2 linked regions of the Stegostoma tigrinum genome follow. The protein of the gene in region 2 purifies or fractionates together with the protein of the main gene of each other region. This does not show direct contact. Links are inferred from orthologs where the notes say so. Each region holds a gene or a part of one and is shown on either strand. Other genes may lie near its edges.

Region 1 (7,291 bases), on a different chromosome or scaffold from region 2:
CCAGTTTGTATTTTTCTATTGGCCTGGAAAATGCTGCCAAAGGTTTTTTTTAAAATATCAAGTCAAGCAAAAGCAAAAAAAAACACTAAGAAATTAATCTTTAAAAATTAATGACTGCTGATTTGCTACAAAGCCATCTTATAATGCTGGTGTAGACAGATTCCACCTTGAGATAGAAACAAGCTTGACCCCATCATCCCGCAGCTCTGATGTTGTGACTGAAAGGAATCCACTGGTAAGAACAAAGGTCAACTGTAAGTGTGCTAACTTGACAGTATTGAAATCAGTCAACAATTTAAACTTCAGCATTCGAAATAAATGGTGTAACAAAAAGAAAATGAGTTTGCCAATTTGAACTTTCTTTACTAACTTCTGACCAAGTGAAAGATATGATTATTTTAACAAACCTATGTGTGGCGCCACTAAATACTGAGATTACATCACAGATTAACCGGTTCAGAGTACACCTACAAACTTTGTTTTATTTCAGCTAAAACAGAAACTCGTTAAGGATCATGGGAACGTAGTCTCCATTGTAAACTGTTAAACTATTTGTCAACTTCAGCAAATTAAGTGGTCTCACACTTGAATGCCTTCCATAATTTAAACTGTTCTGGAATTGTGGGATTTCTGCCTTTTGGGATATTATTTGGTATCACCAGTTCCTTGACATTGACTGCGACCAACCCTCTCACTAAGTGTTTTGAGTGAAGCACGCTGCTTGCAACTTTTCTCCTACTTGGTGAAAAATCTTAATTTTTGAACCCACTGCAGCCCCACCACAAAAGACTTCAAATTTCCAACTTAATGCCTATGACCACCATTGACTGCTGAAACCCTTCTTTTGCTCTTTGCCACTCACAGACTCAATTATCCAATACTCACCTTACCAGCCTATGTTTCAGATACTGCAACTGATTCATCTAGAACAAAATTCTCTCCCACATAGGTCCCACTCACCTAACTTTTGCAAACCTGCACTGACTCAATGTCTCAAACTTAACATTTTCATTTTCCATGACTGACTATTCTGATATGACACCAATCTTTAAAATTCTATTAAGTTCGACAAATCCTTTGCAAATTACTTAAGCCATACAAGCACACCCCTTCACCCCCCAAGACTCCTGTATTCCGCCAACTCTGGTTTCTACGCCCCTGATTTTCATGGGTATATGGCTGCCCTCAGCTGCAAGACCACAAGGTCTGGAATTCCTTTCTCAAGGCAACCGTCTAGGTTATAATGCTAACAGTCCCAATTAAAGAGCCATAAAGTGATACTAAGAAAGGTCCAAGATCTTGGTCAGTGTTGAAATGCAATTCCTTTCTCATTGAGCAGGATACTATTGCAACGAACAGCTGTACTTTTTATGGAATGACATAGAAAAAAGATGACAGGCTATGACCTGAAATATTAACTCTGTTTCTACGTTCACAGATATTGCCAGTCCTGTTGAGTATTTCCAACATTTGTTGTTTTTATTTCAGGAAGTGAATGAGATTTGAGGACCTTTATGGAGGGACATCCGTTGCTTAGAGTCTGGTCTGGACAGGAGAAGGAACAGTTAGTATCAGTAGAGCAACTTCACTCCAATTGCTCAATGGGTGTTAATTGGGGGAGTGTTAAGACCTTGGAACTCCACAAATTTGGTTGATATCAAGAGACAGGGAAATGATGCACAAATATCATTCCTTCATTTTTCATTTGGAAAAAGTGTGCTTCCAACATTCTACGCATCTTATTACAAGTGGAAAGTGTTGTGGACATCAAATGTTTTAAAAACCTAATACTGAAGAATTCACAATACTAGTGACAGGTACTGCATTGGTAGAATTGTCACCACTTTGTGACATAAAACTGAGGCCCATTCGCATGGTCTCATACTAAGATCCAAAAGGTACTACTGAAGAGGAGTAGGGGTACCCAGCTAACATTTACTGCTAAAAATACTGAAAACAGTTTGAATTTTCTCTAGCATTTGCATCACCATATTGTGATATCACAATGGATAGGTATTTTTAAATCAACCTCTATGGGGATGTTATGACACACAAAGGCAAAATACCATACATACTGGAAATCTAAGACTAACACAGAATGCTAGAGAAGCTCAATGGTTTGGTATCATCTGTGGAGACAGAAAGAGTTAACTTTGGGTCAAAATATTAACTATGTTATGACACACCTCTTGAACCCAAGCATTCTAGCCCATACATAATGACACTTCCAACTGGACAACAGCAGATATACTTGGAGAGCAATTTCTGAAGTAGTCAGCCAAAAAAAGAATACATTACATTCTACAAAAGAAGCTCCAAAAAAACAGATTTCCCAAATTGATTCTCAGTGTAGATTAAAATAATTTAACGTTTCATCAATATAATTAATCAGTGTTACGAGTGATCAGATTTCCTCAATGACACAACAACAGCAGTTAAGGGGTACAGCGACTCCAAACCACCCAAATGTTCTTACAAAGCCCTTCGCCCTCGCTTCCCGATAATGGTTCAAAGACAAAGTTACTCACGACGCATGAAAAGATTTAAAAAAAAACAAATTATATCCCTTTATTTTGGCCGGGGGAGGGGTAGGAGAGGGGGGGTGGTACGTTGAACATCAGTGAAGTGGGGGGGGGGGGGGTAGTATAATCAGTAGATGTGAAACTGCAATAAAAACCCCACTATTGATCCCTGTCCCCTCCAAAGGGGCTAGGGGCCCTAAACAGCAGTCGGTGCAGCTTTCATGCGAGGCGGGGGTTACAGCTCACAGCCCAAAAGCGAAGCTACCTCTAGTACAACGGCAATAGTCACCGCTGACTACATGTGCCCACCTCGCTCGATCTCTTACCTAAGGCAGTGCTGAGGCCCGGCCTCACACTACACCAAACTCGGCTCCACAGTCAAACAGAAAATCTCCCTCTCGCCCCGACCGTCCAGCTTAAGCTGCTTCCCCACAAACAATCGACTAGAGCGGTCCCAAAAGTCACAGCAGGATCCGAAGAAACAAGGGGAAAGAGTATGAAGGCGGACCAACAAACTCAACTGCTCACGATCTTCCTCTCTGTCCTTCTCCCTCTCCGACACCGGCACTTTCACTCCAAACTTCCCAAACGATTCAGACAGGGCGCCGCCATTTTGAACAAACCACCCCCACACGGACGACGAGTAAACGCACATGCGCATCTGATATCGCTCTTCCCCATTCCTCCACCCTCTAACAACAGGAACGCCAAGTCGTGATCTGATTGACGGCCAGCTCCAGCCCATTGAAAGCCAGCCTTGGCGGGAGGCTGTATCGTCATTCATCCAATCGACGGTATCCGCGACGGGAATGGGGCAGGGTACATTGCAAGGGCTGGGGGCGGGTTTTGACGGTTCAAACTGGTCGGGTGGGGCGGCATGGCTCGTGATTGATGACACTTGGAACCAATGGACATGAGAGCCTCTTGTAGGTGAACCAATCACGGTGGCAGCGGGGTGGGCGCTTTGGGTCGCTATCAAGTTAGGCTGAGAGGTAGCATCAAGCTTGACTGACTGGGGTGATTTTTTCAATCTGCTGTGACTGCCGGTTTATTTTTCCTTCAACAGACAACTGCGGTGTTCAGGTTATTCAGTTGCTCTCTTCCTTCAGCTTTTTTTTTATTGCGATTGGCTTCTATCGGTGTGAAATGCCGTTGGTACCTAGCTTATTTTGCGCGCTTGTGTCTGAGTGTAAGGACATGAGTGAGTGATGGAGCAGGCAGGGCCTGTAGAGCCTTAACCCTTTATTTGGCTGTTGCATACTTTTTTTTAGTGTCAGGGATCATGTAAACCCTCATCTTCACGAAGTCCAAAGTCAGACTTTGGGCATTGCAGGGTTAAAGAGCCAGGTTTAATCAGGACGAGGTAGACGTTTTTTTTAAAATTGGCTTTTAAGCAAATTATTAAACGTTTGTTCTATATAACTTCATTTGGGAGAAGTAGACGTTTGGCGAGAGTGGTTCGATTTTAAGCACGAATGGACAGTGCCACTGACGGCACTGTCTGATCCGTAGCAAGGTATTAAGTTGCTGTAATTTAAATTATGAGTTTTTGCTTGGTGTGTAGCCATCTCGCCGCGGATCAAACGGTGTGGGCTACAAGTTCCACTCGAGAGACTTGAGGTTTGACCATAACCTGGGCTAACGCTCTAATGCCATTAGACAAGGAGTGCGACACGTTTAGAGAGAATTTTTCAGATCAAAAAATTGTACTGTTAGGGGCAGTAATGGCCTAGTGGTTTTATTGCTGGATTGTTAATCCAGAGACCCAGATAATCTTCTGGGGACGAATCAGATGGTGGGATTTGAATTCAATAAAATATCTGGAATTAAGAATCTAATGACCGTGTTGTTGAATGTTGGGGAAAAACTCATTTGGTTCACCAATGTTCTTTAGGCAAGAAAACTGCCATCCTTATCTTGTCTGGCCTGCATGTAACTCCAGATGCACAGCAATGTGGTTGACTCTTAACTGCCCTCATGGGCAATAAATGCTGCCGAGCCAGCGATGCCGTCATTTCATAAATGAAGAAAGAATAAAGACTGTTGTGAACAATAGAAGGATGTTCTCTGTGGTGTCATGGCCAATGTTTATCCGTCAGGCAACATAACAAACCAAATAAACTGACCACTAGCATTGTTCTTTGTGGCATGGTTTACTCTGAACAAATCAGTTGTTATATTTCTTGCTTGACAACTGTTCTTGTAGTCACCTGACCCACTATTCAAGATGCTATCTCTTCAGGCTAGTGAGTTTTTACCTTGGGTCTTTATGCGTCATTCCTGTCATATAGATCAAAGTACTTGGTGGATGAATTGTCACTATTCTGAATGAATAATGGAAAACCCTCACAATCATTGAGGTCAATGATGTTGTACTTTAAGGAGAGCTTCAGAGTGTCCATGAAATATTTTCTTTGGCCTCCATTGGATTATTTCTCATTTGAACATTGAGGAAACAGGAACTGGTGGGGAGGTGATTTTTGTTCGCAGTGATCAGTCTGACAAAATTGATTTTGCTGGGGCTTTGTCTGTTTATTGATAGACCTAGTTCCAGTAGGATACTAGTATTAATGAGATGGTTTTCCTAAATCCAGAAAATCCACCTTCATAGTGGCAATATGTACGCCAAGGGTCACTGCAAAACAGGAATGTTCCCAACATCACAACAGAAATGACCACATTTCAAAAGTAGTTCATTAGCTGTAAAGTGCTTTGAGATGTCTTGAAGCCCTGAAATTTGCTATTTAGGTGCAAGTTTTCTTTTAATGTTTGGTGATTTACACTGCTCTGTGTCTTCTGGAGTGTTGACTGATGCAGCAGCCAACAATTTAATTAATTTTTTAAAAATGGTGTTGGTTGATAAAGGAATAGTTTTTTGAATACCAGCAGACAATCCTTGATTTAGGAAAGTTCTGTTACTTTATTCAAAGTTACAGTATTTCTTGATGGTAGTGATAAATTTACAATAATGCTTTCAACTGATTACTTTTACCAGTCTGGACAACTCTCTTTATGTAGTAGAGAGAGATAATGGGAACTGCAGATGCTGGAGAATCCAACCAAATAAAATGTGAGGCTGGATGAACACAGCAGGCCAAGCAGCATCTCAGGAGCACAAAAGCTGATGTTTCAGGCCTAGACCCTTCTTCAGAAAAAAAAAATTCTGATGAAGGGTCTAGGCCCAAAAGCATCTTTTGTGCTCCTAAGATGCTGCTTGGCCTGCTGTGTTCATCCAGCCCCACACTTTTTATTATCTTGGATTCTCCAGCATCTGCAGTTCCCATTGTATCTGAAACATGTATATGAAAGGCTAGTTGGGCATATTTTGTATAGCTGGACACTTTGATTTCATAGAACTTTAGGGTATGGATTTGAAGGTGTTACTGTCCACTGTTTTACTTTTCTAGGAGGACTTGCCTCAGTGACTAGAATGTGTAAATTGCATGAATGCAATCTCTTTTTCTTCTTCTCTTTTTCTTTTAGTATAACTAACCCCTGATCCATTGCTCATGGTAAGCCAAAGAATGAACTGGTTTTGATTCATAGATGTTTAGTGCACAGGAGGTCACATGGCCCGGTATGTCAATGCCAGCCTTGTTTGGAGGCAGTCCAAAACAAAATTTTTTTTTCTCCTGTATATTGTAAAAGAAATCATAAAAAGCATGAGGGGTATTTGCTCAGATATTCCGGAAGTTAATACTTGATTGAGATGTTATAGGCCATTGTGACAATTCAGGATTTGCCCTTTTTTTTCATTGTGGGAGAGATTGCAGAACAAGACAGATGGAGAATGCGAAAAACTTGATTCGTATTTGTAAGAGAAGATTATCCAACTATCCTAGAAAAAGGAAATAAAGGAGCATTGTTTGAAAAGTTTCAACTCTCCTACATCTAGCTTAGATGTGCTTAATTTGATTCAACGCTTATGGACTAAAACAATTTTTTAGAAAGGACAATGTTCCACAAGTGAATTTAAAAAACAATGTCAGTCATGTGGGGGAAAGCACAGTGGCTCAGTGGTTAGCGCTGCTGCCTCACAGACCCTGGGACCTGGGTTCAATTCTAGCCTCGGTCAACTGTTTGCATGGGGTTTTACTGTTCTCGCCATGTCTGTGTGGGTTTCCATTGGGTGCCCTGGATTCCTCCTACAGTCCGAAGATATGCAAGTTAGGTGGATTGGCCATGTTCAATTTCCAATAGTGTTCAGGGAAATCCAGGTTAGTTGCATTATCTACTAGTACTGAAGTGCAGGTTTAAGGAATGAGTTTGGATGGAATGCTCTTTGACGGGTTGGTGTGCACTTCTTGGGCTGAATGGGGTTCTATGATTATTATGTCGTGATGTAATTCATATTTCCACTGGAAATATGGGTTTTAATTCCTCCACAGATGTTTTGTAGAATTTGATTTCAGTTAATAAATCTGCTTCACTGATACCCCTTAAGGAAGGAAGTCTGCTGTCCTAACATTGTCTGGCCTGTATGTGACTTGATAGCTACAGCAATGTGGTTTACTTTCAACTACCCCACTTGAAGTGACTGAGTAGGTCACTCAGTTCACGGGCAATTAGAAATGGGTAACAAATGCTGGACTTGTTGATAACACCCATATCCCAAGAAATACTAAAGGAAAGAAAACAAAATTGCCCAGACAGATTCTCCAAAAAAAAACTCACATTTATAACAGTGATGTTTTTTCCTGAAAGATAACCCATAGTACTTCAAAGCTAATTTATCTTCTTTGGAAGTGTAGTTACTGTTATTATGTAGG
Region 2 (7,415 bases):
TGGAACTGCTGAAATCCTAGGAGCACAGGTAGACCCACACTGGTAAGAAGAAGGAAGTTCCAGGAATTTGACCAAGAAACAGCAATGTCAATTAGGATGGTTTGGGGTTTGGGCAAAAATATTGCAGAACATGTTTAATGTTTTACCCTCTGATATTCTTTTTCTATTTTACAAGCAGGAAAATAATGATTGCACACCTCATAATACACCATGTGCACACATTTTTCAGAGAATTTTGGCCAAATTTCAGAAGTCAAGCTCAAACTACAAAATAACATATTATATAGCTAGAGAAGGCAAACAGTTGTGTGGTCTTATCTCCACCATTCTAAATGGAACAGTATTGTACAGCTATGAAGCTAAGATATAGGAAGTTATTTGAGAAAGCCCAAGCAGCTAGTGCGAGAAACTACTTTTCAATACCAACAGAACAAAGCATGGGATTAGTTTAGAAATAGCATCATGGTCAGCACAGACATGGTAGGTTGAGGGTCTATTCCTCTGCTATACTGTTCTGAACTGGTTCTAAAAAGGTACCTGAACAATGATCAGCAAATTACTTTCAAACCCAGAGGTCTTGAAGTACAGGCCCTATATGATTCTTATATTCTTTACTTGCTATTTAATCACATGCAAATTTTGTGAGTTGAGTTGTTTGAATAAAAGGTTTACTTATTCTTAAAAATTGTTGACATATAACTGCAAATTCAGAACATCAAGACACATTTCTATCAGAAATATGAGGATTTTACAAGTTATTGGCAATGACAGATGATTCTCAAAGTCCCACTGATGCAAAGAAGTTGGGAATTACCGCCAGAAACCATATACAAATTAGAAATACAGCAGTACCCAAAAATGACAAAAATTCATATGTAGCCTCACTCCTTCTCAGATGTTCATCACTATATAGACTTGCAGTAGTTTAAGCTTCCATTTGTTCTTAATAACACATCATGAAATAGATCATAAAAACAAATCATCAGCTATAGGTGGCTGAACAAATATTCGATATTATGACTGCACCATTTTAGTTTCACAAGTGTTTCATCAACTATTCAATTACACAGGTTACCAAAAAGCTAGAGCTAAATATCAAAATACTTCCTAGTGTTATCCCCAATGGCGAAAAGATCTCTTTTTGCCAACAGTCAAGAGCTGATAAAGAATGAGTGGGTCAAGAACTGAATCCTCAAACAAACTAAATAACTGCAATTTCAAGAGAGTACCGAATGTTGCACTCTCTCAAATATTGTTACATAAAAACCACAAATGCAAAATTATCATTAATGGTACAAAGCTCAGTGTTCAATTCAATCATTTGCAAATTTGCTTTCTCACAAAGCATGACTTTTTAAAACTTCTAAAACTTAATTAAAAAAAACCATAAATCCTATGTGAGACTCCAAACATTTTAAACAATTTAACTGCCCAAATGAGTTGTGTAGTATCAAGAAACATTGCATTCGCTATTCAACGCCTACAGTTAATGTATGGCAGGAACTTATCAAACGGGCATGACGCGTAATGTATGTACACTACCTTTCCGATTTCAAGAAACATTGGATGTACATTTTTTCTCTTTACAATATTTGATGCTTGATACGTTATGTTTCACGTACATACTTCCGACTTTAAGGAATGTGTGTACACGGGGTACATTTCGGACTAATTTTTAGATATATTTAACACGATAATAGTTCAAACACTCGAGATGTGCAGACTGTTGTCTCACCTGAGTTCCGGGCTCCGGCTGTAAGGACTGGACGAGCGTCGCCGACTGCTGGAGGAGTAGGGAGCGGGGGACAGAGCGCCATAATCATAGGGACTAAGGTGCCTGGAGAAGCTGGGAGAGCGGCGGCGTGAAGTCGGGTAAGGGCTGGGAGAACGACCGGTATAGCCGGCGTGTAACGCCGACTCCCGCGAGCTGTACAGCGGCTTGAAAGCGAAGAGCGGCGGCGGAGGGCTGTACAGCTCGAAGGCAGGGGGCCTGCTGGGGCTATGGCCGGAGGTGACCCCGTAAGCCTGCGGGTAACACGAGACAGATGTACCGTAGGGGCTCTGCTCCCGGTAAGGCGGACTGCGGGGCCCGGGAGAGGTCGAGGTGCGGTAGGCCCGCGGAGCCTCCCAGTCGGCTTCCCGGTAGGCCCGCGGCGGAGGCTCTCTGTAAGCCGCGGGCGTCTCTTTGTCGGTGCGGTGCGAACCGCGGCCTCCCCGGGCCTCCTTGTCGCCTTGGGCCGGCTGCTCGGCCGCCGCCCCGGCTTTGTTCCGGCTCCGGCTTTTACTCTTGGCCTTGCCGTCCGCCCTGGACCGGGAGCTCTCTTTGCCCTTGTCCCGTCTGCGCCTCTCCTTGTCGCGGGATCGCTCGGCCCGGCGCCCAGCTGAAGACGCGGGGCTGAAGCCGAAATTCTCCGACTGTGAGCTCACGTCCTCGTACTCGACCAGGCCGCGGAGCGGGAGGGCCGAGGAGCCCGAAGCCGAGCAGGCTGCCGCGGCGGACCCCGGGTACTTGCCGTCCCTCCGCTGGGCCCGGCTCTCGGCCGAGCGCTTCCTGCGGCGTTTCCTGCGCCGCGAACGCGACGAAGGGCGAGGAGGAGCGGACGAGGCGGCGGCGGCGGTCGAGCAGCGGCCTTTATCCCGGGCCTGGGCCGGAGCCGGGCCGCTCTGGCTCTGGTGTCTCCTCCCGCTGGGGCTGCGACCCCGGCTCCCGCCGCGCGTATCCGAACTCGGCATTGACTTCCGCGACTCCCCGTATCCCCCTCCAGCTCCGGGGCCGCTCACTCCATCCGCTCGGAGCTGCCGCGCATTCCCGGTCTCCGGGCGAGGGAAGAGAAATCGGCGGAAAATAAAAAGCGAAGCCGGGAGGGAAGCTGGGCCTACCGCCTGTGGGAGTTTGGTGCCGCAGCGGTGGAGGGGGGGGGGGTGGTGGAGAGAGAGAAACAGGCTCTTAGCGCCCCCCCTCTCGCTCCTCTTCGCTCTAACAGCGTCGGCTCGTCCCCGGCCCCCGCAGCGCGCGCAACACTCGCCGCCTCTGCGCCGACTCACAAAATGGCCGCCTCCCGGTTTTGGGTGGTTGCGGGGTGTAGACCAGCCGCGACCGTGCGGCTAACCCTGCCCTGCCCGTTCACTTCCGGGGCGAGCCTCCAGGCAGTTGGAGAGGAGGAGGAGGAGGCGGTGATAATGTCTCTCGTCCTCGATGTACATGAGGGAGGGGGTGTGTAAGAGAGAGAGAGAGAGAGAGAGAAACAAGACCTGGATAACACAGTTGCACAACAGAGGAGGCGCCGGATCTGATGAAGGGTCCAGGCCCGAAACGTCAGCTTTTGTGCTCATGAGATGCTGCTTGGCCTGCTGTGTTCATCCAGCATCACACTTTGTTATCTTGCACAACAGAGGACTTTTATTTGCAAAAATTAGGTTAGTAGCACGAAACTCATCACAACATTTCTCTTGTGCAGCTCTTTGTACCGCTGGACCACCACTAGCCCAAGCACGCTGGATAGAAATGTGGAGGGTCTGGAAAGTTGATATTTTCCAATGAACCTAGTGCCATGTGATTTTTGACCTCAGCAGCCAAGACTCATTTGTACAGCATAAGAACAGTCCCCTCTCCCCCACCCCCAAAAAAATTTCTTTTGAACGCCCACCACATATTCTAGCTTAATGTGGACCCTTCCGCTTCATATACCCATCCAGCAGCCTTTTAAACGGAATTACGCCTGCCTCAGGTAGTTCATTTTAAATCTTTCCTCGAGCTTTTACCCTATTCACACCCCTCTTCTATGAACGTTTTGCCACTTTCAGCATCTTTTTAAATAGTGTAGCCTCTAAATCCTAAACAAATGAAGAAATATAAAGTTGTCAAGCCCTGAAAAGCTATGCTAATTAGCTGACAAGAGTCCAAGTACCCACATTTCCCTGTTCAAAACTACTTTACCTTGAACAAATTTTATTGCTTAAGACAAAAACACAACAAATGCTAGGAAATCTGAAGTACAATTCAGTCTAAAAGCAGCTTTTCAGGTAATATTTTTCCCCCTGTTGGACTAGGGACTCCAGTTGGAGATTAAACGGCTGTAACAACTGGGAAGGAGAAAGGAACTAATTTCTCCTAATAGTGATAATGGGAACTGCAGATGCTGGAGAATCCAAGATAACAAAGTGTGAAGCTGGATGAACACAGCAGGCCAAGCAGCATCTCATGAGCACAAAAGCTGACGTTTCGGGGCTAGACCCTTCATCGGAGAGGGGGATAGGGAGAGGGTTCTGAATTAGGGAGAAAGGGGGAGGTAGACCAAAGATGGACAGAAAAGATGATAGTTGGAGAGGGGCATAGAGGTGGGGAAGTAGGAAGGGGATAGGTCAAGGTGGTAGGATGAGGTTAGTAGGAAGTGGAGGTGCGGCTTGAGGTGGGAGGAAGGGATGGGTGAAAGGAAGAACAGGTTAGGGAGGCGGAGACAGGCTGGGCTGGTTTTGGGATGCAGTGGGGGAAGGGGAGATTTTGAAGCTTGTGAAGTCCACATTGATACCATTCGGTACTTTCCATATTAAGCAGATGTTCACCTACACATCTGCCAATGTGGTATACTGCATCCATTGTACCCAGTGTGGCTTCCTTTACATTGGGGAAACCAAGCAGAGGCTTGGGGACTGCTTTGCAGAACACCTCCGCTCAGTTTGCAATAAACAACTGCACCTGCCAGTCGCGAAACATTTTAAATCTCCCTTCCCTTCCTCAGACGACATGTCCATCATGGGACCCCCTGCAGTGTCACAACGATGCCACCCAAAGATTGCAGGAACGGCAACTCATATTCCACTTGGGAACCCTGCAGCCCAATGGTATCAATGTGGACTTCACAAGCTTCAAAATCTCCCCTTCCCCCACTGCATCCCAAAACCAGCCCAGCCTGTCTCCCTCTCACCCATCCCTTCCTTCCACCTCCAGCCACCTATTTCCTACCTACTAATCTCATCCCACCTCCTTGACCTGTCCGTCTTCCCTGGACTGACCTATCCCCTCCCTACTTACCCACCTATACGCCCCTGTCCACCTATCTTCTTTTCCCTCCAACTTCGGTCCACCTCCCCCTCTCTCCCTATTTATCCCAGAACCCTCTCCCCATCCCCGTCTCTGAAGGAAGGTCTAGGCCCGAAACGTCCGCTTTTGTGCTGCTGAGATGCCGCTTGGCCTGCTGTGTTCATCCAGCCTCACATTTTATTATCTTGGAATCTCCAGCATCTGCAGTTCCCATTATCTCCCACACTTTGTCATAATTAATTTCTCCTAATAGTCAGTCACCAGGTGGTATCCTACTACCTTGTGACACCCCATCATTTAACAGATTGTTAGGATGATCAACTAACAGTTCTCCTACCCAGCTGGATCCCAGAAATCGATTCCTGGCTCCTATTTCTAATCTACATGCTTCCCTCATGACATTATTCAAGTAGTACTTGCAGCACGCACACTGTCAACACACAGCTCCATTTAACTAACTTCTTTCTTGACTGCTACTCCTTGGCTAGCACCTAGTACTAGATAAAGAGAAATTTAATGGAATTAAAACGAATGGAATGGTAGAGATAGAGATAATGAGATGAAAATGAAAACAAAAACTTTGGAAAGGCTGGTTACAATGAATAAATTACCTGGTCCAAGTAGCCTCTCTCACAGGCAAGCTAAGAGAAGCAGGGATAGCAGAAGATTGGTTAACCAAGTTAAAAAGTACATACTTCAGAAATATCATCAAGCTCTGAGCATCTATCATATTTCCCTTTCTCATCCAGCATACATTGCTGCCACTCCACACAAGTGGTCAAAAGATTGAATGTTCAAAGTGGCTGAATAAGTGCTGATCAAATAGCCTGTTTTGTCCTGAAAAGTGTTAAGCTAAGTGTTAAGTCACATTCAGCCAGTTAAGTGAAGACTATTTACACCTTATTCCTGACCTAACTTATAGATGGTAGTCAGGCTTTGGAACTCAAAGCAAGTTAATTCTCAGCCTCTGACTGGTTCTTGTAGCTACAGAATTTGCACAGCTGTTCCAGTCCAGTTTGATTAATGAGAGTCAGCAATAGTAATGCCTTTTTGTGTCATGGAGAGATGGTCATGGCCTGAACTTGTCATCTAGTATAACTCAAAGTCTGTGCTACCTGTAGATGCTAACACTGCTTCAGTTTTTTCCTAATCCCAATGTGGATAGAAATAATCATAATTGGCCGCAGATCTTTCCCAAATCGTCACAACGCCCTCACCACTCTGCTGGAGCACAAGAGTTGATTGATCATTTGTATCTACACCTATGCAATGCCTTCAACCGTGATAGCCAGAAAAGTTGATTTACTTTAATGTGTTTGCACACTTTATAGATAAATGCAACCCTCAATCCAGTTTTATTTTCATATTCAGTTTACAATATGGATAATCATGACATTGAGCAATCACAAATTTTCAGTTTGCATTTTAATCCAAAAACAACATCTATTATGTAACTACTCTAAACAGCACCTTAGCTGAACAGAACAGTGGCTAGCAGGCACATGTTGAATTTTGACTTGGGCTGCAGTGGCAATTCATTAAAATATTTGCTATTGAGTTCATTCACTAAGTAGTCACACAAGCCAAGTTCCATACTCACAATTGAAAATATCCTACATGTTGCTGAACCCGGAGGTACTATTAGCACCTTTTGACAGTCACATTTTGCCACTACATAAAGAAAGAAACTCTGCCAAGAAAACTAAAGAAAAGGTACCTAGCAGTGAGAATTTTCTGCACTAAGTAAAAATTGGAAAGCCAGGGGCATGCTAAACTTTTCACAATGACAATTGGCTGCTGCAAGCTCTGAACCTTTTGCCAAATTCACACAATTGTTGATTAAAGGAATTAGGGCACAAATCTATTGAAAGGATTGTTAGCACATTGAATCTGCAGGCCCGACACATTGCAATTGCAATGCATAGCCAATCATACAGCAAGATTATCTGAAGCTAATAATAGCAATAGAATTCAGGAACAGATTTATCAAAGGCAGGAGAGGCGTTAAGGATAGCAAAATGGCTAAAAAGGAAGCATCAGAAAAGAGATCACAGGTTGCAATAAAACAAATAGCTCAATGCTCTTCAAACATGTTAATAAAAGATTAGCAAAGTTTCGAGTAGGACACCAGGAACAAGCAGGGCAAACTCTTTACTGAAATAAAAAGGGTACAGAAGAGTTATTAATTGAATAAATTTGCTGGCGTCTTCAACATAGAACAGTCCAGGCCCTTTGGCCCACGATGTTGTGCCAAACTTTTACCTGAAACATAAGGTTTATCTAACCTCCATCACTACCTTACACTATCCACATGCCTATCTAATAGCTGCTTAAATGCCCCTAATGAGGCCAACTCCACTGCCCTCTCCGACAA

The links.
Region 1: the proteins of cdk13 (region 2) and ccnk purify together in Homo sapiens (affinity purification with mass spectrometry; 4 studies listed by BioGRID and IntAct, counting the BioPlex papers as one, with this or other methods). This does not show direct contact. The link is inferred for Stegostoma tigrinum from reciprocal best matches to the Homo sapiens genes CDK13 and CCNK.

The regions. Positions count from the first base shown.
Region 1 is NC_081363.1:18,537,389-18,544,679, forward strand, and holds the start of ccnk (cyclin-K), read right to left. Parts: upstream 3,250-7,291; 5' UTR 3,184-3,249; coding exon 3,044-3,183; exon of another isoform or gene 2,849-3,043; intron 222-2,848; exon of another isoform or gene 167-221; intron 1-166. UniProt on the Homo sapiens protein: Regulatory subunit of cyclin-dependent kinases that mediates activation of target kinases.
Region 2 is NC_081358.1:9,972,664-9,980,078, forward strand, and holds the start of cdk13 (cyclin-dependent kinase 13), read right to left. Parts: upstream 3,123-7,415; 5' UTR 2,734-3,122; coding exon 1,736-2,733; intron 1-1,735. UniProt on the Homo sapiens protein: Cyclin-dependent kinase which displays CTD kinase activity and is required for RNA splicing.